3 linked regions of the Neurospora crassa OR74A genome follow. The protein of the gene in region 1 interacts with the protein of each later gene in a biochemical or structural test. Links are inferred from orthologs where the notes say so. Each region holds a gene or a part of one and is shown in the gene's direction. Other genes may lie near its edges. The genes, in order: NCU01447, ckb-1 and ckb-2.

The links.
Region 2: the proteins of NCU01447 (region 1) and ckb-1 form a complex in vitro, tested with the Saccharomyces cerevisiae proteins (2 studies listed by BioGRID). The link is inferred for Neurospora crassa OR74A from reciprocal best matches to the Saccharomyces cerevisiae genes ELF1 and CKB1.
Region 3: the proteins of NCU01447 (region 1) and ckb-2 form a complex in vitro, tested with the Saccharomyces cerevisiae proteins (2 studies listed by BioGRID). The link is inferred for Neurospora crassa OR74A from reciprocal best matches to the Saccharomyces cerevisiae genes ELF1 and CKB2.

The regions. Positions count from the first base shown.
Region 1 is NC_026505.1:4,705,667-4,716,204, forward strand, and holds NCU01447 (hypothetical protein), read left to right. Parts: upstream 1-4,361; 5' UTR 4,362-4,771; coding exon 4,772-4,819; intron 4,820-5,112; coding exon 5,113-5,251; intron 5,252-5,334; coding exon 5,335-5,382; intron 5,383-5,445; coding exon 5,446-5,627; 3' UTR 5,628-5,971; coding exon of another isoform or gene 5,972-6,023; 3' UTR 6,024-6,102; coding exon of another isoform or gene 6,103-6,274; 3' UTR 6,275-6,352; coding exon of another isoform or gene 6,353-6,711; 3' UTR 6,712-6,784; coding exon of another isoform or gene 6,785-6,936; 3' UTR 6,937-7,228; downstream 7,229-10,538. Other genes in the region: rib-3 (GTP cyclohydrolase II, variant), read right to left, coding at 411-423, 492-561, 640-725, 846-875, 976-1,138, 1,227-1,230, 1,285-1,440, 1,517-1,599 and 3 more; NCU01448 (hypothetical protein), read left to right, coding at 3,359-3,482, 3,620-3,643, 3,696-4,123; NCU01446 (uracil phosphoribosyltransferase, variant 1), read right to left, coding at 5,972-6,023, 6,103-6,274, 6,353-6,711, 6,785-6,936; NCU01445 (hypothetical protein), read left to right, coding at 8,630-10,538. UniProt on the Saccharomyces cerevisiae protein: Transcription elongation factor implicated in the maintenance of proper chromatin structure in actively transcribed regions.
Region 2 is NC_026506.1:1,755,630-1,766,167, forward strand, and holds ckb-1 (casein kinase II regulatory subunit), read left to right. Parts: upstream 1-5,080; 5' UTR 5,081-5,513; coding exon 5,514-5,672; intron 5,673-5,741; coding exon 5,742-6,584; 3' UTR 6,585-7,126; downstream 7,127-10,538. UniProt on the Saccharomyces cerevisiae protein: Regulatory subunit of casein kinase II/CK2.
Region 3 is NC_026501.1:3,445,083-3,455,620, forward strand, and holds ckb-2 (casein kinase II subunit beta-2), read left to right. Parts: upstream 1-4,857; 5' UTR 4,858-5,231; coding exon 5,232-5,288; intron 5,289-5,371; coding exon 5,372-5,617; intron 5,618-5,699; coding exon 5,700-6,254; 3' UTR 6,255-6,995; downstream 6,996-10,538. Other genes in the region: NCU11228 (DUF1339 domain-containing protein), read left to right, coding at 718-1,113, 1,180-3,357, 3,416-4,180; NCU02755 (PAP2 domain-containing protein), read right to left, coding at 7,326-8,068, 8,153-8,595, 8,680-8,960. UniProt on the Saccharomyces cerevisiae protein: Regulatory subunit of casein kinase II/CK2.

The DNA.
Region 1 (10,538 bases):
TCCTCACTTGATGCGCGAGTTGATGTGAATGTCACGCTGGAATAGCAAGTACTAGTGAGTAGATGCTCATTATATGGTCATTGTACTATATATGCATGACTAGAACCATATACCGGCCGAAGAGCTGTTTGCGTGATCTCTTTTGCTCCCTTTTCACTCCACATTTCACCCGCCCGTTTCACGTTCAGACCTGACAGATTGTGGGTGTGGCGGATATGGTGTGGTAAATGCAGGATCGAATTGAACAACCATTCCTACCAAGAAAGTGTGATGAGTTATATATGGTAATCAAAGAGGCAATGACGGGCCTGCGATGGGTTCTCCCAAGATGCAGCTGCTGCCCGAATAATCTCTCTACAATCCATGACCAAACTCCTTTGTGCGTCGTATCCTCCGTGGGGTTGTTACTTCTAGTGGTCGATGCTGTGGTTACGTTAGCCTCGAGTTTCTTCGATTCGATAATGAGCGACTTTTGAAGAGGGATAACTTACTCTTCCCATATCCGACCTTGCACCGCTTTGAGTTCTTCTTCCGTCATTCTGTGACCTGTCGTGAAGTATCCTACATAACAACGAATCCTCGTCGGTTAATCTGCCTTTCTCCACAGAAACATTGGAAGAGTAAGTGGGACAAACATACCGGCGTTGATCTTGGCATCGATCTCTACTCTCGAATCGGCTGGAATCCAGCTTTCGGGGAGCTCAACACGCTCTAGAATAGGGATACTGTGCGGAAGGTTAGCATCCATCAAGCAAAAGATCGCCGGCTCACCACAGGTGCAGGTTATGCAGCAAGACCCGAGCACAACGGCACACCACATAGTTGAACAGAAAATGCTAACTCACCCTTGGCCGACGATGGCGTCGTGTTTCATGCTAGAAAGTGACCATGCATTAGATCGAGGATCGGTGATACCTCCCACAAGGCAAGGAGAGCGCGCGCAGTAGGGGAGGAGAGGGGTGTGGTGTTACTCACTTGCTCATGCTAAGCATTCGGTCAATCTTGGTAATACCCAGCCAATGAAGAATATCAGGCATCAGGGCTTGGAATCGCATATCCTTTACACCGGCAATGTTTTCGGTGCGCTTGAAATAGTCCGATGCAAGATCTGCCCCGCGCTTTCTCGCGTTGTACACAACTGTAAAAGGTTCCCGGTTAGTCTCTCACCCACGAAACGAAATCCCCTGTATGGGACGAGGTAAGGATCAACTAGGAACTCAACATACGATACTGTGACGCTGGATTAGCATTTAGTCTTCATGAGCAGAGTTTTGGAACACAAACCTTTGTGACTTCGCCCAGGGCACGACCTTCCTTACGGAAATAGATTACCACGCCGCTACCGCCATTCTGAGCCTCCTTGACGGCCTCCTCAATACCGAAGATGAGGTAAGGTCTGCAAGTGCAGATATCGGAACAGAAAACATCACTACCGTTACACTACATAGAAGGTGGCTGTGTCAGCAGTGAAAGATGTGTTCGAGAGACAAGACATTCCATGAGAACGAGAGCCTACCTCGTCGTGTATCCTCAACGCAAGTTTCTTCGAAGGGTCTGACATCTTCGCGGGATCGCCGAAGCAGTACACGGTCAAACCACCTAGGAAGAGACGGTTAGGAATCTGTAACACCACACCATGACGGGATACACAGCTGATGATTCTTACCGATAGGGGGCAGGAAGACCTTGATATCGGAGCGCGTAATTAACTGGCTATTGTATCAGCATCGTCTGTCCGTAAAAGTGCTATAATCCAGCGGCGCCAATTACCTCGGGATACATGCCACCCGTATGCTCGAAGAGGGATCTGCGCAATGTGCCCTCATCAATACCGAACCGTTCGGCAACTCCGGGGAGGTACCAAACAGGCTCGACGGCAAACTTGGTTACTGCAAGTTCACCGAGGCTGTTCAAGCAGATCTTGCCATCTGGAACCAATCTGCCGCTCTTAACACTCTCTTCAAGCTCAGGCAGCTTCATATGGGCTTTCGTGATCGCAATTGTCGGCCGGAGATCAACTGTCGATAGCCAGTGTCAGTTTCCATCATATGCAAATAGGGATTATAGACAACAACAACAATAACAACAACATGTGAAAGTACGTACCACCCTCCTTATCCATGAGATCCTTGAAGATCCAAGGAACCTGATGGCCCCAAGGATCCATGGCTACAATCTTCTTGGGATCTCCCCATTGAGGGAAAGGGCCAATGTTGACGGCGGGCTCGGTGTTGGTGAAGTCAGGCTTGTGGTCTGGATCCAGCTCCTTACTCGCCAGAGCCAGCGCGTAGTAAATCGAGTATGAACCACCGTGGGCACCAATGGCGTTACGTCTGCGGATGGTCGAGCCAGATCGGATGACAGCTACCGGGCCACGCTTCACGGGATCGGCCGCACCCCATTCCATCGGTAGAGGGTTGATGCCGATCTGCTTGGGATAGGTCGTGAGCACGACGCGGTTTGAGAAGTTGGACTTTGTGACATCGGCGGGCGGAGATGATGGTGACATGGTGCCGGCATCCGCCTGCAAGAGCGGTGGCGTCTGGACATAGCCGGAAACGAGCGGGGTGGTGACTGGGTTTGGAGCTTCGCCGTTGGGTTTCGACGAGGTTTCGCGAGTCTTCTCCAAGCTGCTCACACGTTGAGAGATGGATTCAACCGCCGAGATGAGCTTCGTTTGGCCTTGGGCGATGGCCAGCAAGGCATCCTGCACACCTTCCAGACCTGTAGCCATTGTAACCAGGTCTGACTGTTGGGGCAAATGGGGGAGGAAGGGCAGTATCTAGTAGGCAAAGATGATGATAAAAGAGATAGATTCTAGTAGTGGTTTAACAGACGGGAGACAAAGGGACGGGATGGAGGCAACGTCAGGAACAAACAGACGAAGATACTGAAGACGATGGGAATCTGGAGCAACCTTGAGAGAGACAGTCAGTCAGTCGGGCGACACGAGGGCCAGTTATAACATGGTAGTTATCGACGTTCCCGGAGGAAGTGGACATAGGACTAATGCTTCCACTTGGCCATCCAACCTCTCCTCTTCCAGCTCGTAGTGTACATGCACTCGCCGTCGCCAGGGGCATACCGTACCTAAGTTGCCCGAAGCCACCGAAGGCCCCCTCGTGATAAGAGGATGTCTTTGGCCATCGACCACTCGATGGTTTGCAACACGTAACAAGAGTCGGTACAAGTTGCGTCTCGGGCAATCACCGGACGCGGAGCGTGTTACTGACCAACGTTACCAAGCAAGATAGCCAGCTGATCGATAACAGGGTGTGTGTGGCATGCCCGTAGCGCATCCTCGATCCCTGTAGGTAGACTGGAGTAGCATGCTGGGCTGCCACTTTTTGGGTCAACCATGCTCCCCACAACGGACGCCGGCGGCGGGGTACCGCAATCGGATCGAGTGCCGTGGCTGCGGATCTCGGAGACGAGCGCGCCCTGTCCCCCAGTTCCCTTCCCGCCAGTTCCAAGTGGAAGCGGTATGTACCGTATGTACTATGCAGTTTAGGTGGTCCCTTGTTAGTAGAGGTAGTCATTGTGTAAGCAGAAAAGGAACGACACTGGAGAGGTCCCGCATAGTGTAGGGAAAGTGCAGGCCCTGTGTTCATCACAACAGAAACAACATGGGGGTGTATGGATTGTAAGTGATTGTTGACACCGCGATGCAAGTAGTATGTATGGTTACCGCTCAGTAAAGAACTCCCAACATCGAAATGGTTGGTGCCGGTACCGGGGAGAGCTGTCATCACCATCGGATACTACCGCTTGCAAGTTGCGCGAGAAATCAAGCAAGGTACCGGTGTTCACGAATTCGATAACGCTGCCCTGCTGCTCACAAGGGAACCTATCTCGGGCCAAGGCCATCAGCAACGATGATAAGCGGGGTGGTCGTCTTATCGAACAGGACGCCTTGATTACAGTATCTCGACAGGTCCGAACTCTGGATGGCGGGTGCTTGGATGTCAAATGCCAGATTTGTCCAATCACCAGTCCCCGCTCGATATGTAGTCGATCCTCCCAAAGCTGGGGGAGGTATTTTGTGGGGCAAGGTGGGGATCAAATTGGCGGGCCCCACGCCAAGGCCCCCGCCTTGAGTTGCAAGTGGAAGTGTGAAACCTGAAAGTCAGCCCTGTCCTGTCATCATGTGCACGAGCCATTGCACCAGGCTACGTGAATAATCTTATCAAGCTTTGGGTTTGTAAAACCATAGAGCCCACAGCCATCACGCGCGCGGCGTCCGAGGGACTCACCTTGGTGAGAACGGTGAGAGTCGTGGTGGGGCAGGCAACACTGAGTGACCTTACCCTACCGGGGGACTGGACGGGGATGGAGCCAAACTTTTTGGCGGTTGCTGTCAGCGACGCCTCCATGAAGGTGCAGAAACTACCTAGAACTAGTGTAGTCGCAAAAATATCAACACCTCAATAGGTAACCACCAACTTTTGCCTGCAAGGAGTCACCCATCAGGCACGTGCTGAGTAAAGTAGCACACGCCTCCATTCTCTCAACGACCGACGTGCTCTTCCCCTTTTCCATTCACCGGCATTTTTCCAGCAATCCGATCTGCAGCGCGTGCGCCAGAAGCACCAAGGGTTTTTCCATTGCGACGCGAATCATCGATAGGTTATCTTCAGCGCTGCCGGCCGCGCACCTGCAGTACTTAGTGACCGCAACCGAACTTGACACGCCCCGGTGCCATTTCAACAAACTTGAACAAACCCACCACCTACAACATCCAAACAACAACAACCATCACGGCAACTTCACAATGGGCAAGCGCAAAAAGTCGTCAAGAAAGCCGCAGGGCCCCAGGAGGGTATGTGCATATCTCGACCTCTACTTTTTCCATTCACCAAACCCAAGAGATGATCGCGTAGTTTTGTCCGTTGCGCGCGCCTCTGGATACCACCAAAGACGTCATTGCCCGATAAGCTTTTTTAGACATTCTGCACCCCCGAGCACCATCTTCCCATATCATACACAACACTCACTACTACTGGAACCCCATCTACATTGTACCCTTCCACCCATCCAGTCATATTATACGCTTTCTTCACCTTGCCCTTGATATCACCAAAGCGCTAACCTGTTCACCCCCCTCTTAACTAGAACGACCCCCTTCCCACTGTCTTCACATGCCTGTTCTGCAACCACGAACGATCCGTCATCGTCAAGCTCGACAAGAAGGCCGGCGTTGGCTACCTCGACTGCAAAATCTGCGGCCAAAAGTTCCAATGCCCTGTAAACTGTAAGACTAGCTCAGCCAACCCTTGGATATACACACAGAAACAAGAGAAGCAGAGGAGTGCTGACTTCACAACTACGATGTAGACCTCGATGCTGCGGTAGATGTCTATAGTGCTTGGGTAGACGCTGCAGGTAAGCAAGCATATGGCCTTGCCCTTGCCATGTTAGAGCTTGTCATTGACTTGGACCAAACAGACGCTGTTGCCCAAGAAGCCGAGGCAAGCGCAAAAGCAGCATCTTACTCGAACAGCCGGTCGACGGGTGGGCGGCCAGCGGCGTCAAGCCGGAGAGCTGCCGATATCGACGAAGATGATGAGGATGACGATAGAGGCTATGGCGGATCCGGTGTTGAGGTTGATGACGATGACTACGACTAAAAGACATCGGCGATTCGACGTTGCGTTACGTCCGCGTAGCCGGCTGGCTGTTTCTTTTTCTTTTCTGTCCAATATCTCATGGGGTCATGGTTGACTGAGCGAAAGGTTTATTAAGGGTCATTATCATCATCAACACGATAGGCGAAGCCGAGCCGAATCTCGATGCCAGTTTTATTTCGACGAACGAAGCCGCACGAACTCGTTTTGTTGAATTTTTCCAGAGTGGGTATTCCATTACTACGCTTGGCATCAAAAAGTCCTCTCAGATAACGCCATTTCCCAAAGTCGATCCCCACCGCCAGGAAGTCATCACAATCAACGATCTACCTACGCCCCTTCACACTTTACATGGAGTAATAGCGATCGCCGAAGTCACCGAGACCAGGGATAATGTAACTATAGCAATTAGAGTCAGTCTCAAATCTCATCATCTTCTCAGCGACCAACATGAGGCGGAACGGAACGGAAAACACACTTCTTGTCATCGAGGCCTTGGTCGACAAAAGCAGTTACCGTCCGGAGCTTGGGGAACTTGGAAGCAAAGTTGCTGATGCCCTCGGGACTAGCCAAAATGTTGAGGAAGATAATCCGCTCTTCTGGAACTCCCCTGGACTTCAACACCTCGACGGCCATAATGGCAGATCCGCCTGCACAGAAAGCACATGTTAGCCGTGGAAACCCCAGCCACAAGGCGCACTTGGTTCTCCCCCAGATCCTAGACTTACCAGTGGCGAACATTGGATCGAGGAGAAGGACCCAGCGGTCGGCAATGTCCTCGGGAAGCTTATCGTAGAAGAGCTTGGGCTGCGCAGTCTCCTCGTCTCTCTGAATAAGGATCTTGCCGATTCTAACGGAGCGGCAGCAGTCTCTCAGACCCTGCTCCATGGCCTCTCCGGCGCGCATGATGGAGACACCGCAGATCTTGCCCTGAAACGCCAAACCATCGTATATGCGGCCGACGGGGGTGGTAACGGGGTGCTCGACGGTGGGGAGGTGGTTGAGGCCCTCCTCGACGAGGAGACGGATGATTCTGTTGGAGTAGAAGATGAAGTCGCCGCGGTCGGTCCGCTTGTCACGGATAATGCTGTATTGTAACCACCGAGGTCAGCGTCTGGCGGACAGCAGTCTGGAAGGCAACTCGAGGCAAGCAAACGCACCTGAGGAGAGCGATGAGCTGGGGAGTTTGAGAGAGAACGGTGACGTTGTCGAAGTTGACGGCGGTCGAGACGGTGGCGGTGGGCTTCTGCTCCTCGGCGCGGTAATCGGGGCCCACGCACTTGGTGGGCGCGATCTCGGAGGCGGTAGACATGTTGACTTGGTTGGGTGAGGTAGGTATAGGAGGATGGACTAAGTGCCGAAGTCGTGAGAACGGATACTCTGCGAATCGTTTCGTGTAGGTGATGTGTGGTCAATGTAAAGAAAGATAGTGTCTCGCGCAAGTGTTCGTGGAGGAGGGGGGGCGGATCAGATGCTTCTTAAAAGAGGATCCTGGGGCAAAGGTAACAGCCTATCTGTAAGCCAGGAGCAGACATATGACAAACAGATTGAATATGAGGGTTCGTGATTGGGATTGAGCGCGACCAAATGGGAAGACGAGGCGGCGCAAACTGCCACCCCCAGATTCGAGGAAGATCAGTAGACTCTACTAGATCTGCGCCCAACCATGTATCAACAACGGTCCCACCAAACCCCTCCCACTTGCAGAGCTGATAAACGGTGGAACTCGGCGTCGCAGAGTGTCAACGGGGACAGGAATTGGCGCCTTGCCTAGTTGGTCGCGTGTGTACTTACTATTTGACTGGGCTTCTCCGTTTACCGGAAGAGGATCGTGGCGGGATGCGGGAACTAGGACAAGAAAGGGGAACTTTGGGACCTTGAGCGATTGTCAGATCAGAAAAAAGTACTGCATTTGCGAAAGGCTTCAGTTCTGGACCGATCCCTGCCCGCTTCTCAGGGTTGTCCGACCTGAGTCGTCCAAGTGGAAGTGGAAACCGTGGAAACGCTCTTGGAGTCCAGCTGGATCCTGCGACCTGGAACCCCGCCGTGCCCGCCGTGAGCCCGCGAGAGCTCCAACGGGCGGCGGGCGGCAGACACCGAAGGCCGTCCAGTGGGAGCCATCAAGGTAGGAAGCATTGATGGGATGAAAAGTTCACCTACTGCAAGAAGTTGAGAGACTTGGCAACCCCCACGTGTTTTCGTCGTCAACAATGCGGTGCCGATATCCGCGCTTTACAATTCTACCAGTCGAATCTAGAGATAAAGGTTTGTATGTGTAAACAATGAGACGGGACGATAACATCAAAAGGCTCTTTTCGGAAATGCAGAAAAAGAGGAGCGGGTGTCTCGAGGGGAACGGCAAGCACAGACCACCATCTGCAGGGTCACTGTGCTAAGAACCTTGTCCTGCCTTTGCCCCTGCCGCCGCCCTTGCACGCGCACCGCACTGCAGTGAACCACGCACTGATGACACAGGGCCACAGGGCAGGCACCGTGACAGACGGAAGCAAGATATTGTGGGGTTCTTCGCAACAATGACACCCGTTTCCACTTCGACTTCTTCCATTTCCAAAACATTGGACTGAACCTACGCGGGACGGAAGGACGGGAAGCGCAACTCAATCGCCTCAACCACACCGCAGCAAACACCGCGGAATCGCTTCAGCCAACACTAACCACGACAATAGCAACCATCTCGTTCCGAACTTATAAGCTCATGCCTCCAGCTCCCCTTCGCCGTCACAATCGCGGTATGCCTTAGACGAGCTGCGCGCATCGGACTTCCACCCGCGCTTTGGTGACTACGCCGCCAACAACACGTTTACTTAACCGGAACTGCCATTGACCGACTACTCGACCTTCAGCCGCCGAACTTGCGATAGTTTCCCGCATGTTGCTCTGATACGATTCCGGCGCCCGTATACCCGATTGACATACATATCCATCGCTGTCAAAGCTATCCATCAACCAGCGCTCCGTTCTCTTGCTCGGCCACAGTCAGCACAATGGCCAGCCTCAGTGATTACGACTTTCCGCCCAAGAAGCGCGTGACCACATACGGCAAAGCTACGAGAAGGCGAGTGGAAGCTTCGACTTCCTCGATCTCCATAAATAGGAGCGCATCCTCTATTTCCGTCAAGACAAATCAGAGCGAGGAAGACATCATAACGAAAGCCCCTGTGACTGCTACCCGCACATCTCCATCGCCACCAAGCTCGCCGGGACCTGCCGTATCTCGTACCACTAGCTCTAGCAACAGAGGTAGGTTATCAACTCAACAGAAATATGGCCGGACCAGCCATCCAAGGCTACACGACGAGTCGCATAGCCAGCCACTGCCAGGGAGCATCGAAACCGGCGAGGATGACGCGAGGGCAAAGAAGAGGAAGATCACTCGGACATATTCGGAACAGACAGACGTACTGGCAGGACCATACTCGACTCCCAATTCATCGCCATATGGCACAGAAACACCTGTCGATGCTTCGAACGAACAGGTTGCAAAAACACTACCGAAGGCGAAGTTGCAGCAAAAGGCCATCAATACACCTGTTAAAGATGTCAAGATGACGGATGCTTTCTCTTCCCGGTCGATTCCAACGCATGCCGCAACGAAGCATCAAATCCCGCTCCGACTTTCGTCAACCAAACCGAAACCGCTGCCTTTGCCCGTGCAAAGGAATCCCTCTCCCCAGCCACAAACAGAAACCTCTGTCACTGCCGCGCCACCACGGCGGAAACGCTTGATCGATGCTTTGGTAGCCCAAAAGGAAGAAGACAGTTCCTCCGATGAAGATGGCAATCCTCCACTGCTAGAAAGCCCTCAAGGCAAACAATCCCCCAAGTTCCAGGATCCAAGCTCCCCGAATCCCTCAACCATGACACCGTCAAAGCGACTTGCTCGCCCAATACTTGCAACCAAGAAATCCGGGCCCAAGTTCACGTATACGCAACAAAGGTCAATGTTGGCCGAAAACGACCCGCTGTTTGACGGCGGTGGATTGGGCGGGATGGGGTTGGATGATAGCTTGTCGGGGGGTGCACTCTTTAACATTGGTCGCCTGACCAAAAGTGCTGCTCTGGACGCCTTCTCGTTTATGGACGAGGAAGACGAGACAGTCAATACAGGAGCCGTTCGGAGTATCCACGAACTGCGACAAGCCGGTGCTAACAGCCGTTTCGCGGACGAGATTGAGGATATTCTCGATAGAGTAGGTCCGCCATCGGAAAAGCCTTCCTCATTACGAAGAGGCGCTTTGTTCGAGCTTGCTCAGAAAACGAATGAAAAGTCGTTTCGGTCACAGCTTCGCAATCATGGCGGCGCCGATGATATGTTCAAGTCGCTAGATAAAGAGGCGGACCTCATTTCTGGCTTTGCAATCGCAGCAGTTGTTGCGAACATGCTGGCCACTTCGGCTTCAACCCTGCTACTCCAACAGCTGAAGGCTCAGGGCTTCGCCGCTCTTATTGAGCGACTCCTTGGCGAGCCAAGAGATATAGTCCAGTTGGCGAAAGAGAGGAAGCAGAATGTGTCGAGGAACGGCCAAACAACACTGGGGACAATCAAGGCCTCTCTACTAAAGCTTCCGGTATGGGAAACTGCCTTGCCTAAGCTTGTATCTCCCAGAACGCTCGCACTTAAATGTCTGGACTTGATTATGCGACAGTCAACCCAAATGTCGGACGAGTTCGAAGTTTTCTCCTCGAAAGTGACCGATCAACTCTTTTCGATTTTGGCCGCTGGCACATCCGACCAGGCCTGCTGGGAGTTCCCGAAAGAGCAAGCATCCATCGATTTCTTCCTCGCCCTGTATGTTCTAGAAGGCCATTCCATCTACGCCATGCAGTCTCACCTCAGCCCTAAATGGACGACTCAGTACGTGCCGATTGCGGCTGATGTGCTGGAGACTACCT
Region 2 (10,538 bases), on another chromosome or scaffold:
GGAGTTCGGGTGTGAATCGCTGGATGCCGTTGGTGAGGAGGAGGAGGAGGACCGTTGTAGCCAAGACATGAAACCTAAGACTTGGGCTGAGTTTGGGAATGAGAGTTCGTAAGGGAGGATGGTAGATCGGAAGGTGTCCAGGTACGGAGTTAATGAGGCCTTTCCGGAGCTCGGAGAAATGTTGAACCATTTGGTTAGGGCGGGTAGTATAGTTGGTGAAGTCAAAGTGTTGGTTTGGGTATTGGCATCATTTTGCTGGTTGGGGCAAGGGCTCAACGTAGAGGGTTTGGAGCTTGGTCGTATGAGAAGAGGCCTTTGAGCTTGAAATGCATCTCTTCTGAAGTCCTCTATGCTGATCGGCGCAACCGCCTCTGCCACTGTTTTGAGACTCCTGGCATGATGGGTGAAAGTGAAGAGCGGTTGGCGGAGTTGCCTCGTCAATGCAAGTAGCCGTGTTGGCCTGGAACTGGGAGGTGACTTTCCTCCATGAAACATATGAAATAAAAAAAATACAAAGAAGGGAATCATGACAAAAAAAAGAACAAAAGCAGCAATGGCCACCCAAGGTTGGTACCCTGAGTCCTTGACGATACGCAAATCAGACCACGTGAGGGAGGAAGATACGTACCTAGGTACCTTTCATCAACCGATAAAGGTAGCTGGCTAGACCCAAACTGGTCCCTGGCTAGTCCCCCCCATATACTTTCGCTAAGTAAGCCCAGCCAGCCGCCCAGCCGCCCAGCCGCCCAGCCAGCACACCGTGCACATCGCTGCCCAACCCTCACCGGCGTCGCGCAATCTATTAACGACCGTTAGCCGTATACACAATTGAATGAAGCTATTATGAGACCTTACTCTATCGTTGCACAATTATTCTAAGCGATTATTCGTTATCTTTATTATTATATAATCGAATATCTTTAACTTTATAGTATTTGTTAATATACCGCCGCCCGCCCACCGTACGTCGTGTATTCGCCCAATAGGTTAAACTTCTTCCCAACCGATAAAAATAATTATATTTAACTGCAATTTAATAGATTTGCCCACTAAAATAACCCCTAGTCCGTTTCGGCTAATTACTCCTAACCGAAGCACAACCCCCCTTACCGAAATCCAATCGTTATTAATCCGCCGCTACAAATTAAAATTAAAAATATAATTACTGTTATCCCTTAATAAATATACTAATCCGCTAGCGAAACTACTATTTACCTCCTCTAATTATAATAATATAATTACTACCTTTAACGCATTATAAAATTACTATGTATAGTAAGGCTTTATAGTAATATTCCGAAGTAATACGAAGAGTAAAAAGAGGGGGGATAAGGGTATAATTATTTGTATTAACTACTATTATATATATAGGCGCGTTTATAAAGCAATTAAGCAAAGCGTTTATAATACTATATTAAAGAAATTCAATTACTTATATTAAGTAAAAATTATATTGAGGAAGAAGTAAGGTAGTTAGTAATTCGCCGAAGAGATTAATAACCGCTATAACTACTATATTAATATCACTAACTTTACTAATAATATTATATATTAATAATAGGTACGCCGCTATTATAAAGATACTATTAATACCGCTATCGAAAAGCTATTTAGTATTACTAGAATAAACTCTCATTAAATTACTTATTATTTGAACGGCACCCTCAATATTAAAGAAGAAGATTTCGCCGCTATTTAAATTATAGATCGTAATAGTCTAGTAATTGAGTTATGCAGTCTCCGGGTCCCTATTACTACCTAGGAGGTTTTAAATATCCAAAAGGGTATTCGTTATATAAAATATAATCCTTATACTTCAATAAAAATATTTATTAACCTTCTAAAGTAATATAAGAACCTCTATAACATTAAATACTTTATTAATTATAACCCCCTCTTTCCTAACTAGCAAAGGGTATCGCGGGTCTTTTAAACATTCAACTAATATATTTAAATATAGAAGTAAAATCCCTATATATTACTAGTAGATAATACGTATAAAGTAAGTAATCTATATACTATTATATAGGAAACCGACTTTTTTTTATAAAATCGATTTCTTTAAAAAAAACCGATTTTATAAAAAAAAGTCGATTTTATAAAAAAAAGTCAATTTCCCACTATAATATACTATAGTACAATTAATTAACTATATCTCTATATAGGTAAACCGCTTCAACCTTCCCCTCCTTAACGTTACTAACATCGATATATTAAATTATAACTTTAATATTACCTTTAATCTCTCGAACGGAGAAAGATAAAAAGACTTCTAGTAGTAGCTTAATTATTTAAAGAAATTTTAAAAGGATTATAAAATTCTTAATCCCGTAGTACTTATTACCGACTTCGACCGAGGATTTAAAAAGGCCGCTATTATAATATACCTAAACGTACTTTACTAACTCTACGTATAATATATTATAAAGAACATAAACTACTATATTAAAAAAAAGTAAATTCAATTAAGTAGTACTAAACTAATCCCGGCCGTTAATATATTAAATCCCCCGCTAACTACCCGGGATTTAGATAGCCGTAGCCCCAATCCCCCATTTTATATTACTCTAATTAATAATAATAGTAATAATATCAATATTAATAAACACACCGACAATAACCCTAATAAAGAAGACCCGGAAGAGGCTAACAATACTACTACTACTAACCGCTTTACTTAATAATATAATAATAAATAAGGGGTTTGTAAAGTAGTTAATAAACCGCTAATTAAAGCCGTCGCTCTACAATATTGTAATATACTAGCTTTTAACCCTATTTGTCGGTTTTATTAAAATATATACAAGGGATTTTAAATTAGGTAGAAGTAAGTAGTATATATTAATAATAAGGATTACTTTAAACGGATATAGTATTTACTATACTATGAATTTAAAAAACAGACTTATAAATTAATATATTATATTACCCCTATTATTTCTACTATAAACTATATTCTTTTTTCACCCACCGTCTTTATTTATTCAATTAACGACCTTTTATTATAATTCTACTAGCTTACTTCTATAAATATTACTTACTATAGATTAATAAGTATAGTAACTACATAGTATTGAAGCTTAGAAATTATAGTATCCGGGTAAATAGTAGAATCGAATTTTCATATAAAATTATTAAGTACTTACTTAAAAATCAATTCTCCTTTTTAAATTAATTATATAAATATATACAAACTTCGTACCGCTTTTAACGAGAGAGATTCAAATTGAGATTTGTAAAAGCGAAGTAGTCTTATTTCTATAAATATAAAAGAGTAGGGATATTTAACAATTTAATATTAAAAGTACATTAATTACACTCCTTTTATTATTACCCTTATATATAAAGGTTTATATAATTAACCTCCTTTTTTTTATTTATAGGTAGCGCCGTATACCCTCAAACTTCTATAGTACTAATACTACTACATATATAACAATTAGTTTAAAAACCTAATTTAAAACCTAAATACCAATTATAAAAAAGTATTTACAATTTAGTACGGCTTACCCTACAAATATTTTATATGAAGATTATTATAGATAGATCCCCTAATATTATTAATAATAAGGAATATAAATATATACTAGTAATTGAAATTAAATAGGCGTACTAAATTAATAGAGGTTAAATAATACGCCTATGCAATCTAAAACCCTACTATATTACTTAATCGCCAATAATAAATAATTATCCCCGATCTAAACCTTATAGATTATATACGTAGAGTATCGGAATATAACTTTATAAATCCGGAGGTTTATAAACTATATAATTTTAAAGGTAATTAAGGATTGTCCGCCTAACCCATTAACCCCATATTTATCAACCGTAACCAGTATAATAACTACTATATATTCTCTTATAATAAACCGCCCTACCGGGTAATATAGTAAAATACTTAGAGAAGGGGGAGGGCGCTAATATTTATATTTCGCTACTATAGTAAAAGTAAAGGAGGAGGAGGTATTTAACGAGCGGTAACGTAGGAGTTAATAGGAGAGGGCCTTACGCGGGTAGATTTAGAAGTATTTATTTAGAACTTTATAGAAAGTATTATATTATAGCAAATATTAATATTAAAAATACCGCTAGCTCCCTTACCTTCGCTTTTTTACCCCCCAACTCCCTTATAGAGAACTCTAACACCCTCTCTATCTCCTTATCCCTAAGTTTAATAATAGCCGCTAATTTAGTAATAGCCATCTTATAACTATATACTAACTCCTACCGGCCCTAATTAATTCAATTATAAATTATTAGCTTCTATTAAATAGCTGCCTTAATACTAGGATAGTCCGCCACCTTCTAACTAATAATAAGGGGAGGGATAGGTTATACTAGCAATATAGTATAAGCGAATTCCAGCCCCTATAGCACTACCTCTAATATTTCTAGTATATTTATAGGGATATAATATAGGGGTTCTCCAATACTCTAGGTAGTACTTTGGATAGTATTTATACAACGGGTATTAAAATTAGGGTAGGCACGTACACTCTAACTCTAGGCAATAAGTATAGTATTAGAACTAGCAAAGAGGACAGTAGTATTACTAGCAACTATAGTATTAACCGCCTTAGTAGTAGATTATTAGGATAATTAACTAGATTAACGATTTTTGAATACCCTTATATAAAAAAGAATAACGTAAAAGACGTAGATCTAGTAATGCGCGGGCATCGGTTACGTGGCCTCTATTGTATGTGTGTACTGGCTGGGCGGCTGGGCGGCTGGCTGGGCTTACTCAGCGAAAGTATGTGGGGGGGACTAGCCAGGGACCAGTTTGGGTCTAGCCAGCTACCTTTTGCGTTCATCAACCATCACCAAATGGACCCTTTACTTATCTTGGTTCCACCTGATAAAGTAGACGGTTGGGTTCCGACGCGCTGCCGCACGCGCATGTGGCAGGGCTCAGCAGGGTTATGTGAGAAGGCGCAAAAATCAGGCATCATACTACCGTGGGGCTGGGCGCGGGGCTGCTCCCTGCGGGAAGGGTTGAACGAGGAGGATTGGGAAGGGCCCAGACTGAAAAGACGGGGCGCGCCGCACAGACCAGACACCCACGAGTGGGCTGTAGCACGAAATGAGGGCGCGGGCTTCTTCTCGAGCAACCCCAAAAGGCAAACAGACTGAGCCATCGAGTCGACGGCCTCCGTTAGCGCAAACTCCAAAAACAGCACAGGAAGGGAACCACCAACCACCTCCTTCGCTGCAACACCACGTAGACAATCATTGAAGCGCCTAGCTATTCTGTCTGTCCTTTCGTCCATCTATTTGCGCCATCTCATGCGCTCGGTCATGTCTACGCAATAAACAATTGAACCCTTCCATCCAGCATCGCAGATGAGCGTCGACCCCAAGGGACACTAGCTATACCCAGTCGTCGTCTTGCGCCTTTCGATCGCACTCATCAGATAACGTCCGATAGCGGTACCAACAGCCTCATCGAACGCCTACTCCGTCGCCAAACACTCGAATCGTTTCGCGTCGCTTCCATATCCAATTCCACCATGTCGAGCTCGTCGGGCGTTCCAGAGTCATGGATCGCATCTTTCTGCTCCCTCCTGGGACACGAGTATTTTGCCGAAGTGTCAGAAGAATTCATCGAAGATGACTTCAACCTTACTGGCCTGCAGACCCAGGTCGCCATGTACAAGGAGGCTCTCGAGGTATGCTTGTTCTGGAACCTTTTTGTCCGTTACGTCAGCAGCTAATCATTGTGGTTTTAACCTGACTAGATGATCCTTGATGTCGAGCCCGAGGACGATGATGACGAGGAGGAGGAGGACGAGGAGGACGAGGAAGACATGTCCGGTGGCGACGGCATCAACAAGCCCCACGGCGAAAGGAGACATCACAGCCGCATCGCGAGCGATCTTTCTGTGATCGAGTCCTCGGCCGAGATGCTGTACGGTCTGATCCATCAGCGCTTCATCTGCTCGCGGGCGGGTATCCAGCAAATGTCGGAAAAATACGAGCTCGGTCACTTCGGCATCTGCCCACGCACAAACTGCAACCAGACCCGCACGCTGCCCGTCGGCCTCTCGGACACGCCCGGCGAAGACACGGTTAAGCTGTTCTGCCCGTCTTGCTTGGACGTCTACGTACCGCCAAACAGCCGCTTCCAGACGGTGGACGGCGCCTTCTTCGGCCGCACCTTTGGCGCGCTCTTCCTCATGACCTTCCCCGAATACGACTTGACCAAGACCGGCGCTGAGAGCGTTAGCAATCTCACACGATCCGGCTCTGACGACACCACCGTCATTAACGGCATGTACGCGCGCAACATAGCGCCGGGGCTGGGCAGGGGCAAGATTTACCAGCCCAAGATCTACGGGTTCAAGGTGTCAGAAATCGCGCGTTCCGGGCCACGCATGCAGTGGTTGCGCAGCAAGCCTGACGACTTGAGCGTGCTGGACGAGGCTCGTCGCTATGCGGAACAACAAGGGTCGGATGACGAGGACGAGAGCATGGGTGTGAGCAGCAGGACAGCTTCGAGGCGGCGGGGGCCTCCTAGGAGGCAAAAGCAGAACGGGAGTCCGATGGCGATCGAACAGAATGGGGCTGAGTCGGAGCTTTGAGGTCGAAGTTGTAGGCTGGAACTTGGGTTTAAATGGATATTGAAAGGGGAGGATCAGGTTTTGTAGGTAAGGAGTAAGGAATTGTGTGCGCAAGCATCTGGACAACGGACTGTTGATCACTTCTTTTTTACATCTTCCTCTAAACCTGGCATTGATTTGTATCACACGCACAAATATCCTTTGGGCTTTCTTTCTGATTCTCTACGTCATGGCGGGGGAATGGACGGACGGGTTCAGGAATCGGTTACAGTAGCTTGCAAGAGCGCTTTTTGGTTGGGTTGGGGTTCTTCTTTTTTCTTTTCCTTTTTCTATATCAAGGTTGATTTTCTCTTACACAGCGAACTCGGACGTAAATTCGCATTCCAATGATGATTGCATGCCGGTTATAGACGATGAGAGGAGGACGCAATATTGTTCGTTCCTCTTGTGGTTTACCCGTCAGTTCGCAACGCAGTTTTAAATTAAATCATCTTGGTTTTTCCACTTCACTACCACCCCCTACGCGGAGGAACCCCTTCTGACCATGGTAGCTACATTCCAAGATAGGTATTTTTGTTGCTGGCAAATATGGGTCCGTCATAAGCCGGTCATACGGGAAGACTCTGTCAGTAACATGACCATCGGATTACTCCATCCTTTTATCTATGACCTTTTTTGTTTCTTCCTTTTTTTCATTTTCTTTTTCTCTTCCAACTCCCCCCCCCCCCCCCCCCCCCCCGACCTACAATTCTTGTCTTTCTTCAACAGTCTTGTTGACTATTCTCTCGATGCCATACTGTCATGCTGACTCACGCAGATCTTAGCCTGTCTTCTTCCTATACTGCGGCTACCGAATTTTGGGATGTGAATTTACAAAATACCTACCAATCAGGAAAATGGGTTCACATCTCACAAGCGTATGTTACCAATCTCATCAGCCTGATGCAAAGAACGACCGACGACGAATATACAAGCTATATTAGTATTGACAGAAGAAGACAAAGTAAACAGATTGTGATTGTTGTTGAAGACAGAGATGGATATGCCAATTTATTCGAGGAGTGACAGATACTCAAGTTGCTATGTACCTTGCCCGAATCTTCGGGCCCGGCTCCTGCCTCTCCGTAACGACGTGAAAAAAAAGATTGTGATATTAGACTTTGGGACATCTAATGTTACTGCTACTGTATACGAGTGAGAAATGCGCAAATAGGCTACGGTGTGACTCCAACTCCGCATTTCAAGTGTTTTGCACTGTCGATGCCCCGTTGTAGGTAGTCCCGGGACGGGGAACGTTGCGGTTCCGTCCACTCCACTTCTCCGGTCGGTCGGTCGGTCGGTCAGTCGGTCGGTCGGCGGAAACCCCACTTGTTTCCCTCCGCCACCCCGTGCCCGGGGGAGAGGGGGCCGAGATGATGACGAGCAATGATAAGCTTCCGTCACTAACAGTTTACATACTGGTTGTCACAAGAGTCTGGGGTGCTCCCTCCCGAACGGCAAGTGTCGCGAAATTGCATGCTCCTCTTTTGTTGCGACGTACCAACGGTACAGTGCAAGAGATGTATTTTTTTTTATATATATATATTTTTTTTTTTAATTTTTTTTTTTTTTTTTTTTAAGAGCTGGGGAGAAGTTATAACTCTTCGTGATATGAGCGCTCCGGCCATGGGGAGGATGAAGAAATGGCTGGCTGACTGACTTCCATGATCGATGTCAATCACATAGGTAGGTATGTAGCTGATAATCGCGGCGATCAACGGCGAACGCTCGGTATCTTCATTTCTTGACGATAAATCTTATCGTCCTTGACCACAACCGCCATTCGGCAGAACATGGATCTTCAAGGTATTCGATACGATACCGGTGTTTGTAGGAAGACGAACAGAACCACAGAGAAAGGAGTGAGCAACCAAATACAACGATGAGGCAAGGAAACCGATGTTGGATTTGTAATCCAGGAAGAACAAACATTAACACAACATGGGGATACATATTAAGGCAGAACCGCGGATGACGGCATGTAACCCATGAGAAAGCTGAGGCGGAGAAGGTTACCTTTGGGGATGCGAAGGATGGTGTCCCCACAGGAGACTCCAAACCTCGTTGGTCCTGTCTCCGGTTCGCGGTTGGGTATGACATATAAAAAGAAGAAAAAAGAATTGCTGAAAATAAAGAGAAACTAACGGGCTGGACAAGACCGTGGGGAAAACCTTAATCGGATGGTTGGCGATATGCGGTGCGTGTGGGACGTAGCGTATCATATCGACGGTGAACTAGACATAGGTATTCAAATAACGAAGTGAAATACCGTGGTACAAGACACGCCACCAGATCCCTACATGTAAGGTGATACAACTAAAACGTTGAAGCAGGTATGCACTTGCCGTCCTGTACCTATGTGTGATGCACAGAATGTACTATATCTTGGTCGATTTGTAGATGGCGTTGTCTGGTTGAGATGGCTTTGCTGCACATGCAAGCGGCATGAATGGACACGTTGATGAGTGGGGTCAAGTCAACTAGGCAACACAATCATGCTGGGTACGTGATATGTAAATATCATAATGATTCATTGTGGTCAACAAGGGAGGGTGGAGGAGACACGATACGGTCAGAGAAACTACGACTAGAAAAGAGCGGTCATTCGAGTCACTCGCCGACTTAAGTTGCACTTGTCATGACCCCTCCTCACTCTTTTGAGTTGGCCGATCACCGAGCTTCCAGAGCGATAACTACTCTTGAGGGTATATACCTAACCATCACTGGACGACTTGTCTGGAAAAGAAATGGGTACCTCGCTGTAGTGTATCACTCTGGACACGAGAAAAGCACATGGTAGTGTTTCGGGACCACACCCTTCACGCCCACCGGGAAGGATTCCAGTTGATATTGACCAATGGCATGCCGTATTTGTAGCTCCACCGTCCCCCACAAGTCGTCGACAATCGACATCCTCGCTGCTCACCAAATGCAGTGTGTGATAGGGTACGTACCGCGGGGGTTCAGAGCCTCCCAGAATATCTTGGCGATTGAAAGAATTTAGATTGTTTTCGGCACCATTTCCATTCTTTTGTGTCTTTCCCCGGAGACCCCTCGTCTTGAAGGTTGACGAGATGGCCATCATCTCCACGTTGCTACGAAGAGCTGGGGGAAGTACGTGCTCGTGGAAAATGGACCGGATAGGTAGGTAGGTAACCTGGTAGACCAGAGAAAGGCGGTGATGTGCCGATAACATCTGGTCATGGACCTGACATGGATTCCCTCTTCCACTTTTGTCAGTGAAAGAATGGTGCAGTAAGGACCCCTGTAACTGCATCCTCCAGGAGCCAGATATTGCATAAGTTAACATGTGTGCGTGCTATTTGGTGCCCAGAATTCCCTACTCTGAGTTACATGCTGTTTCAGGGGATTCCACTGTATCAGAGTTTGCTTCTGGAAGGATGTACCTGCCCCAACTAATGTACATAGTTGTACACTGCAGTAGTGTGAGCTGGTGGAGCCTCCAACGAGAGGGTCGGTTAGGGAAAGGTCGACAAAGACGGGGAGGCGTCCCGTTGATCCAACGGCTTTTGACATCAACCACCAATCAACTATGCCGTTGTTTTTTTTTGAATTTTCTCATCGGGTACACTTAACAGTCAGCACCTAGTTTCGTCACAATACCGTTCGAAAATGAAGAAAGAAAAACAAGAAAGAAAACAGACCACAACGAATTTGCGGAGTTCGGCAGAATGTCCCCTCTGCTTGCATGGCTGGCTCGGCTGGTACCTGAGCAAGTCGACGTCGATTGGAGCTTCTATCCGCCAAGAAGCGCCGATGGCACTGCAATCCCCCTTTGCCATCCAGGCTCCCCCGGCCGTGTTGGTTTCCTGTCACCGGAAAGAAACCTAGCACGCCGAACTAGCAGAAACAACCCTTGCCCGCTATATGGGCGACATGGTGTTCCCACACTCAATCGCCTGTGCAGTCTTAGCA
Region 3 (10,538 bases), on another chromosome or scaffold:
CAGTGAGGCTGAAGTCAACGTATTTCAAGTCCAATTGGGTAGCTGGATGAATGATGATTCCGTCGTCAGTGGAACGTGAAGACGGGATGTCAAGGTGCCTTGAGGATGAGAACAAGGGCGTCAAAAAATGAGAGGAATGCGGGAAGAAAGTGAGGATCGAAAGGTCTTTCATGCCTACCCGGTAAGGTAGATAGATTTGGGGAAGAGCTCGAGATGCTTTGTTATTTGTCCAGTCGTTACCTAAGTCGTTCGTTCAATGGATCGCATTGCGGTTGTCGTCTGTGCACTAACGCAAGGTACATCCGAGACCTACTGCCAGGTGTGTAGGTGGAGGTGGCTGCTCGCAAGGAGTTGGATCGGACGCTGGGGCCTTCGACTGACAGACACTAGCGCGGCGCCCATAACCGGCGCCGTTTACAGCATGTAGTCTGTACTCTACAGCGTAGACGTACTTCCCCGGGCATCCAATTCGACACCTACCGTCTGCTCCCAACGTCCATGGTTGAATATCCATCTACCAGAACACGGCCCCATCAACACCCGACGACCTCACTCGGCACCATCACCACCACTACGGGACTCGGAGCCCACGACTACCCCCTGTCCCGCCTAGAGTGCCACTCCAGGCTCGACATGATTTGACTCTACGATCGACAACAAGTATTGAGGCTGTTGATGCGCATGAGGCCGCCGTGAAGGCATCGGCTGCGGAAAGCCATGTACTGGCCTATTGGAACTCCTCGGATATATGCGACAAGCGCCAGCTGCCCGCCATCCTATCCTCACCTTTACTCTCACGATGGGTTACCGGCCCCCGATCAAAGACCTACCAGGGCCTCTCTGCTGTCCCCAGGTCCCACCGCCGACGGTCACGATGCCTCGAGTGTCCCCCCTACGCCGATCACTCCGGTAGCACCTTTCACACCGGCCATCAAGTCCGTCGAGCACGACTACTACGATGACGGGCAGTCTGAACCACCATCTCCACCTCCTCCAGAACCCTCGCGTTCCAATGCTCCGCCCAGGGAACCAATACTGGCTCTTCGAGTTGCCAGAGCTGGCCACTTGTTCGCCGTCATCACCTCGACATCAATGACCATTTGGCAGACAAAGGTAGACTCTCAGCATGACTCCCTTCTCCCTCCCCTTGGATTTCCGCCCTGCTTACTCATGTGTTAGCCAACGGTTGTGTTGGCTGTTGTTGTTCGATCCGAGGCGTCACTCAAGTCCTACGGTACCAACACGAGCTTGATGCTGCGTCCGGACGCCGCCATATTTGTCGTGCGCACAAGCCTGGGCTATCTGATCACCTACTCTCTGGCTACCGATGCCGACTCCCGAGTCTACAAACCCCATTTTTCCAGTCATACCAACGTCCAGAAACGGCGGCAAACCCACGCAGGCGGCCCGGGAGCCATAGCCCCCGACCAAATACTATGGGGCCCCGGTGAGGGATCGGGAGTTAGGGATGTCAGCGTTCGTTTCCGCATGGTTATCAAAGTGGACGCCGGCATTGAGAGTGCTCTGGCTTTGGACGACGAGTTGGTGGTGGCTACGCGGAAACCTGCGGCAGTTCAATGCATCCGATGGACCCCAGACAGCTCCGGAAGTCAGACCAGCACAGAGCTATTGAGCCGCATGGGCTGGGTTGACAAGAAGGTCATGGTTCGCGAGATGACTCACGACAGGCGCATGAACCTGTCCACATGGGTGACCAGTGACGGCAAAGCGTACGCTGTCCAGCGCATCTCTGGCAGCCAACTAGAACCCGATACCAACCAGCCGCCCGACCCAAAGAAGCTTTTCAAGGGCTATTGCTTTTATACGCCGCAGACACCTGGTGAACAAGCCATACGTTGCATCGTCAACGCGGTCTTCTCTCTCATTGCTGTGGGCTGCGCAGATGGCAACATTCGCGTGTTTTCTGCAAAAGATTACTCTGGAAACATTCCAGCTTCTCACGTCCACAACCTCCCAGCTTCAAATAACACTTGTGGCAGACTTACAACACTTAGCTACTCTCCCGATGGCTATTGTCTTTTTGCTGGCTACGAAAAGGGATGGGCAACATGGAGTGTATACGGCAAGCCACTGAGTAACAGCTTTGGGGCCGATCAAACCATTGCTAGCACAACCGGGGAAGAGTGGATATCCGGTGTCCTGGATGCAGCCTGGATCGGAGGTGGCTGTGAACTGTTGCTTGTCGGGCGAGCCCATGAATCGATATGGCTGCTAGAGATGGCACGAAGCGCAGTGACCGGATGCTACAACTCTGCAAATCTCTTCAGGACCGTGCTTCAGAGCACTTCCAGCGTCATGGTCTATAGGGGATATGACCTTCCCGATCTTACTTCGATCTCGGCCGAACCTGGGCTGTGGCACACAGCTAGAATACCAGCCAGCTATCTTATGAACCATTGGCCAATCAGGTGTACTGCCATCTCCAGCGATGGTCGATATGTTGCAGTTGCGGGCAGGAGAGGCTTGGCTCACTATAGCGTGAACAGCAGTCGCTGGAAGACGTTTGCGGATGGGGACGCGGAGAACCAATTTATGGTAAAGGGTGGCATGTGTTGGTACCAGAACATCCTGGTTGCTGCCGTGGAGGCTAATAGAAGCTTCGAACTCCGTCTCTACTCGCGGGAGGCATCCCTCGATAGCTCGAACGTGCTACATACCCAAGAGATGTCGGCACCCGTTGTCCTAGTTACTCCCTCTGGCGAAGACTCGCTGCTCGTTTATACTTACGACAACCTCCTTTACCATTTCATATTTGCACCATTTGGTGGCACCGTTAGGCTGGTGGAAGTTGGTCACATAGCTTTCCATGGCATCATTCGATCACCCGCACGAGTTCGAGGTTTAAGCTGGATTTTGCCCGAGAGCCAGCTCTTAGACGGAGACCCATCCCAAGACGTGGCTCATGCTTCTGTCTTGTTCTTGGTTGATGGCAAGCTGGTCCTCCTTCGGCCCTCATACAATGAAGGCGGTCTCAAATACGATATGCGCGTTATTGCGAACAACCTCGAATTCTACGTTAGCATGAGGGACCAGCCATTTGTGGGCGGCGTCCTGACACCTTCCGAAAAGCAGGTCTTTACGGCTGCGGCTGACGACAGTTTACGTAATTCGCTATGGATCTTTGATGGTAGTGAAATCAAGACCTGGACGGATGTCGAGCCAGTTTTGAGGGCCACCTCTGGAGAAGCCACGAGAGAGCTTCCACCCATGACATCAATCCCTATCGACTTTTATCCCCTATCCGCTCTTCTCAGCAAAGCCATAGTACTTGGCGTGGAGTCCGATCTTATCCAGCGCCGCGATGTCAGCTTCTCCTTCTTCCGTTTCTCGATACGGGTAAGCCCCTCGATCAGAATGCGTGGCAGTTACAAGAATTTCCTGCTAACAATCCCAGACGCACCTCTTTCTACCCGATATACTGCGGTTCTACCTTAGTAATAACAGACCGATTGAGGCGTTGCGGTTAGCTCAGCAATATGAGCACCTTGAGTACTTTGCGCATGGACTGGAAATACTTCTGCACCATGTCCTGGACGAAGAGGTGGATGCCCATCCTCCGCCTGCTCCAGAACATGCCATCCTCCCACGCGTGCTGTCACTTCTCTCATCGTTCAAGCAGTACTTGGACATTGTGGTGCAGTGTACCCGCAAGACGGAAGTGCGTTCCTGGCGTACTCTGTTCGCCTATCTCCCTCCACCTCAGGAGCTGTTTGAGGAGAGCTTGCAGCGTGGGAGCCTCAAGACTGCTGGCGGCTACTTACTCATCCTCCATACCTTTGACGAACTCGCAACAGCAAGCGAGCAGAGTGTGCGTCTCTTAAGCAGAGCAATGCGCGAGGGCGACTGGGAGCTATGCAAAGAGCTGGCGCGGTTTTTAGCAGCGCTCGATGAAACGGGGGACACGCTGCGTGAAGCAATGGAGCTGGCCAAGATGCGAGTGAAGCAGGAAAGTGAGCTGGAGGATGGCCATGGCAGCGTAGGCAGCGGGCTGGGCACAATGCTTGGAGTTCCTCAGGGTGGTGGTGCTAACGGTGCTTCCAGCACTACCAGCTCATTGATTTCCAATACCAAGGGGATCATAGGTAGTGACTGGGATGCTGACAGGCGCACAATCAGCGACGCCGGCAGCGTTGTCAGTGCTAATCGGTACGAAGGTTAATGAAGTGGATGGAAATTGGAAAGCGGATAGTTGGTTGTAGGATTGTTGGATATCCATAGCCGTGGCGCTCACGATCCTACCAGAACGTCACTTTATGATGAAGCGGGGGTCTTGAGCTCTAGACACATGCTGTAGGGCAACACAGATGTTATAGAAGCCGGGATGTTTCAAGATAATCTAGAACAGCTATAATCACAGGCGACTGGCGTTCTTATCCCCCATTTTTATTTATTTATATATATTTTTTTTGGGTTTTCCGTCTCCAACAATATACCTGCTCAAAAATAAGGCACAAACTGTAGCACTGAACGTCATGACGCCCAATAGAATACCTACCTTAATGACAGAGTACATGCTTCCATCCCCAGTACCTGTGAACGTACAATTAAAGTCATACGCTGGGCCGTTGGGCTGACTGAAGGCCGACGAAAGGTACCCGCCCGCTACCTACCTACCTACCTAGGTAGGTACTTAGGTAGTCAGATGGTCGATTTTGCAGACCTGATAACCTACCTCTGTGTAGTGCCCTGGGTAGGTCGGGACTGCTGATAAACAGACTGCGATGAGCCAGGGGCGGGGGGGCACTGCAACCTGCCCTGCGGGGACCACTGCAACGGCGATGAACCCCCCACCAAAAAAAAAAGTCCCTTGTCATGGACTGTCAGCCTGTTTGGCTCCCGGTCTAGAGTCCAGACCCCCTCGCCTGCCCTGCCGTTGCCCTGCACCAGGGACGGCTTTGAACCCTCTTCCACCTGAACTCCCATCAAACCGTCGCAAAAAAGCATCACAATCCTCTCCAACGTCTTGTCGTCATTGTGCCTTGTGCCAGCTCAATCTCATCCGACTCGGACCTCCCACTCCCCATCTACGGCCCGGCGCGCATTAGTTCGGCCCAACAAAAGGTTCAAACGCCGTACTTGACCCCGGCACCCGGGATTTTGGCCTCGTTGATGCGAAGCGCCAGCCGACGGTCGTTCGCGCCCACTTTCCTCCCACCACCACCTTCCTCCCTTCCTTTTATGCGCCGAGTATAGACGTGGTGTCGCCGGCCATGGATGACTTTGTGAGCGAGTCTGAGAGCGACTATGCCAGCTATTGGCGCGACTGGGTATGCTTCTCTTGCAATTGTTGTTATTGTTTACTACAGTAAAGGTTCCCCAATCATGCTGACATTTGCGCGTCCGCCTGCAGTTTATTTCCTCGCGAGGCAATGAGTACTTTTGCGAAATTGACGAGGACTACATCACTGATAGGTTCAATCTAACTGGTCTCAACACTGAGGTCCAGTACTACCAATATGCTCTCGATCTCATCACCGATGTCTTCGACCTCGACTGCGATGACGACATGCGGGAAACAATAGAGAAGTCTGCTAGGCACCTGTACGGTCTTGTCCATGCTCGATACATTGTCACAACGCGGGGTCTTCAAAAAATGGTCAGTAATCAACTCTCAGCATTCCATCTTCATCCAGCGTCTCCTCGTCTTCATCCGTGACTAACGCACTTCCCACCAACAGTTCGAAAAGTACAAAAAAGCCGACTTTGGCAAGTGCCCGCGCGTCATGTGTTCCTCGCACCCTCTGCTGCCCATGGGTCTCTCGGACGTGCCCAACTCCAAGCCGGTGAAGCTGTACTGCGCGCGTTGCGAGGATATTTACAACCCCAAGTCGTCGCGCCACGCCGCCATTGACGGCGCCTACTTCGGCACCTCGTTCCACAACATCTTCTTTCAGGTATACCCGACCCTGGTGCCCGCCAAGAGCGTCGAGCGCTACATTCCGCGCTGCTACGGCTTCAAGGTGCACGCCGCTGCCGCTCTGGTGCGCTGGCAGAACAGCCAGCGGGACGAGATGCGTAGGCGGCTGAGGAAGCTCGAGGTCGAGAGCGGGTTCAAGGACGCCGAGGACGAGGCTGAGCTTGACGATGATGACGAGGAGGAGGAGGAGGAAGAGGAGGAAGAGGAGGAGCTGGCTGCTATGGATGAGGCTGAAGGTGCCCAACAGCAACATGCGGCGGCGGCGGCAGGTACAGCAACGGGAGGCGTTGCTGCCGGCGGTGAAGGCGTTCATTAGAAAGGGCCTGCTGCTACTGGTGGAGAAGCGGATGAAGAGTATTGGAATTCAGAAGCCACGATTGGAGCCGCCGACGAAGCTGACGATGAAGCTGAGCTACCAAACGAGCCAAACGAGCCGAACCATTGGTTGACACCTCTCATGTCTGCTGCTGCAAGGCTGCGACGGAGTCTCAGGCTAGGGGAGGACTATGAAGAGCAGGCTGAAGTGGAGTTCGATGAGTGGATGGAACAGGCGAGGTACGGGATCTTTTGACTTTTGAGGTGGTGGAATGCATATACCATACAGTATCGAGTAACAAAGTATGAGTACAGGTGCCTCTCTTCTCTTTGTTTTTTTGTTTCTATTCCCGCACCCCATAAGCCTCTACACAGCGGACGTCGGGATCGATGCGAATAAGGGAGAGAGAGCCATTGATAGAGTGTTTATGTTCTTTGGTCTAGCTATACGTCTTTTCGGTTCTTACCAGACGATTTCTTCTCACCTTGCCGGCTTTGCTTCTCTTCGTCTGTGCTGAACTGCACCCTTCTCTGTTTCAAGCCTCCTAAAAACCAATCGTCAAATCGACGGGAAGTTGAACTTAACGCTTGAAAGGCAGTCTCTTGGAGCGTGAAAATTCAAAACGACCAGACCATATATCCAAGCGTCTACTGAGGAAAGATTCACAAGCGGTGTCATGCGGCAACACGAACCTTTCAAATACATGAACTGTTACCACAGCATAAACACGTTGATTAATGCCGAAGACCAGTGTGCTCAAACTTCCCTTGAAGAGTTACCAGGTAGATATGTGTACATATGGATAGGTTCCTCATTTCCCTATCTCAAAACGCCTCCTGAACATAAGAGAGACTGTACCAAAACCCATGTTGGTGACATAAAACCATTTGTTGTTCCTCATATTTCCTCGTTTAGAGAAATAATCGCTTTTGTCATCAAGCCCACCCATCCGGGCCAAGTCCCTACTTCCGGAAAATGCACCTTGACTCTTCTGATCCGACAATGCGTCGAAATTTGCCTTTCATATCTGATCGTCATTTACCCGTCTCTGTAAGCTGTGTCAACCTGTTCTCATTGATCAACGTCAAGCGACGGTGGTTTCCTCCCCGTGATGATCCCACCGGGCTGGTCCGGTCCCACATTGCTTTCCAAACCGGTGCCATTGGCCCGTACCACGGGGTGCCCATAGCTGCTGCCGTGATCTAAAGAATCCGGACTCAGCGCCTCCTCCTCGTCTCCCGCGCGATAATACTCGCCGACGTTGTGATCAGTTGAGTAGCTGTAACTGCCGACACCTGCCCAGAACGCCTTGTCGCGACTGCGCGGACCCCAAGCCCACCCAGCACCTTGCGAAATGGGCAGATGGTAGTAGCGGAACGAGAAGAAGGCACAGATCAAGCCGATGAGGTAGCCGAACAGGATGTCGAAGCCGTGGTGGCGGAAGTCGAACCAGCGCGAACTGGCGATAAAGATGGACGCGAACCACGGGATGATACAGATCAGCAGCAGGTAGAGCGGCGGCGCGGCAGCCTGAAGGCGTACGGCGGCCACGGCGCGCGTGTGTCGCGCAAGACGCTTCTCCTCGGCCGCGCCGATGCTGCCGCCCGTGTAGGTCCGTCCGCCCCCCGAGCTTGCGGGGCCCCGCGGGGCCATCTCGTACGATTCGGGCCCACCCATCGCGGACATGGCGGTGTTGTGGCGAGTCCGCGAGGGAAAGGCGGAGAAAGAGGCGGCATCGACATTCGTGCCGGAGGCGAGGAAGGGAATTGTGATGGCGAACTTGCTGGCGATGAAAAGTGAGAGATAGATGAGACCTGGTGGAATGTCAGTTAATCAGTAAATCATGTTCTCAACTACCAAGCAGTGTCTGCTTTAGGTAGGAACTGGTCGGTCCTCACCAGCTGCTGCGGAGCTGGAGTGACCGCTGGGGTAACTCCTGAACCCATCATCCAGCTTGGCCTTGTCTGGATTCATGCAGATATTTGCGCTGACCAGGTGCCCATTCATGCTGGTATTAGCATAACCTCCAACGATATACTTGGCGACATTGGCGAGATCGGGCTGGCATCTCGAAAGAAGATCCGGTCGCGGCTTTCCGTAAAGGTTCTTCATGCCATTCGTGATCAGCCAGGCTGACGCTATCGACAGAGCCAACCCCAGCCAGCCGATATGCAGTTCCCATAGCTTTCGCTTCCAAATCAAGGCCTTCGGCGTGCCCCGAGGTACGGTAGCGCCAGGGACGAATATCAGCGAGATGACGGCAATGAAGAAGATGGGGGCGATCACGCTGATGCATGTTGCCAGCCAGACGGGCACAGTTTCCTTTACTGTAAAGGGGAATCTGGAGAGTTTGTACCTCTTAGCATCACATCCATTGAATGGATCAAGCAGAAACTGTCAGGAAAAACTGTTTGATTTCACATACGAGATATTGGGATCGTAAAGTGAGAAAGGTCTCTTGTTTGGGGTTTTAGCCCCAAAAATATAGCCAATGACTCCGGCAACAGCAATAATGACCCAGTCAAAGACATACGAGACTACCACCACCCATCCTCCTCTCTTCCTCTTTAGCCCACCAGCTCGGGTGTGCCTGAGATTGTCCATCATCAGCGTCGTCGAAGTTGGTGGTGTATAGCCGGTATGCGATGGTGAAATCGAGCGAGCATGTGCTGGAGGGATGAGGAGGTCTTCTGAATCGTCGGGCATGAGGACCTAAGGAGAATCCGAGGGGTGGTCGGATGGGAGAGAGAACCTCGAGCAAAAAAGGGACGGCAAGATGAGAGATCGGAAGCGCAAGTTTGGGTCAGATTGCGTCCAGTCCGTTTAGCAGTCCGCCTGGTCGCGTTTGCCAGCCGGAAAGAGTAGCGTGGGTAGGTAATAGGAGGATGTTTCAATAGGCGCAAGCCGCAGCTGAATGTAAGGGTGAAGCGACAAGAGGTGTGACCAGGCTAATACAAACCTATGGGCTGCAGTGGTTGGGAACCGAGATGATATTTTGGGGAAACTAAGTACTAGTACCTAGCCTACAACCTAGCCGGACTAGCACAAAGATGTCGTGACGGGAGTACGCAGTATGTACGTGAAGCCGGAGACCTGGCGCGTGCATGTAATGAGTGTGCAGAGCACGGCAGAGGTTGAACAGTTCATTCTTGTATCGAACCTGTCGGTCTGACAGAAAATGAGTTTCACCCAGCGATCAGCGTCCACGATTTCCTACCCAAGACGTCTAAGCCTCTTTCTAAGACCGCACGTGTAACGCTAACATAGATTCCCCATGCCTGTTTCTGCACTAGGTACACTACATACATTTTTGCTTGGTCCCCGCAGTCCGCACTCCTCCCATCTGCTTGAAGTCAGTTGACAGGTCGACAATAAGTACTCCCAGCGGCGATGCAGTGAGTCCCGTAACGGCGGCTCAGAAAGAATGAGAACAGTTATAACCAAGTTTAAATGAAGCGAAGAGAAGAAAACCAATGTGAAAACGAGATTATCGAGGGTGAACGAGTTATTCGGTCAAGAGCGGATGGGAAACAAGAGAATGGCAGCTTCCTCGGTGGCATGCCGGTTGAGGTTACAACCGAAACCAACGATCTTGTAACAACCTGGAAATCTAGATCATTCAGGGGGGTGGTTTAGGCAGTGGCCCCTAGCCAAGTGGAACCCCAGTCCCGCGTACCTCTAACGCTACCCGACATGGATGAGGTATGTATGGGGGCAACCATAGGTACCTACCTACTCCCCAGCTTTTCCATGTTAGTGCATCTTAACTCATTTAGTGTAGGGTGAGAAGCACCGCAGAGAAGTACGATGTACCCTAGGTACCTAGGTATATATTTATTGTGCCGACCTGTCGGGGTCGTGAGGTACCAGACATGGTGGCGCACTCAGTTTTCCTTACTAGTTAATGTACAACTACCGATTCCATCGATCCCATTCAATCTCCAGAAGTACAAAGGGGACTGCCCTGAACGAGCGAAACGTTGTGAAATAGTATGTACACTAAAAGAATGGCGTAAACCTTAAACTCTGCCCAAACCACCGAAGAGACGCTTCAAATAGTGTACTCATCACCCCCGTTGATCTTGTGGTATACCTCTATGGAGATGAGACTATGCTTGCCTTTTGTCGACCCTCGTTCCTTCATGGCGTTGTATGTATGGCCGAATTGCGGGCGCATACCGAGACGCTGTCGTGATATGCCCTTACACAGTCAACCACTGTAAAGATACCACCGCTGGAATGCATATAAATCTCGCTGCGCTCAGGTCTACCCACGCGGCTATT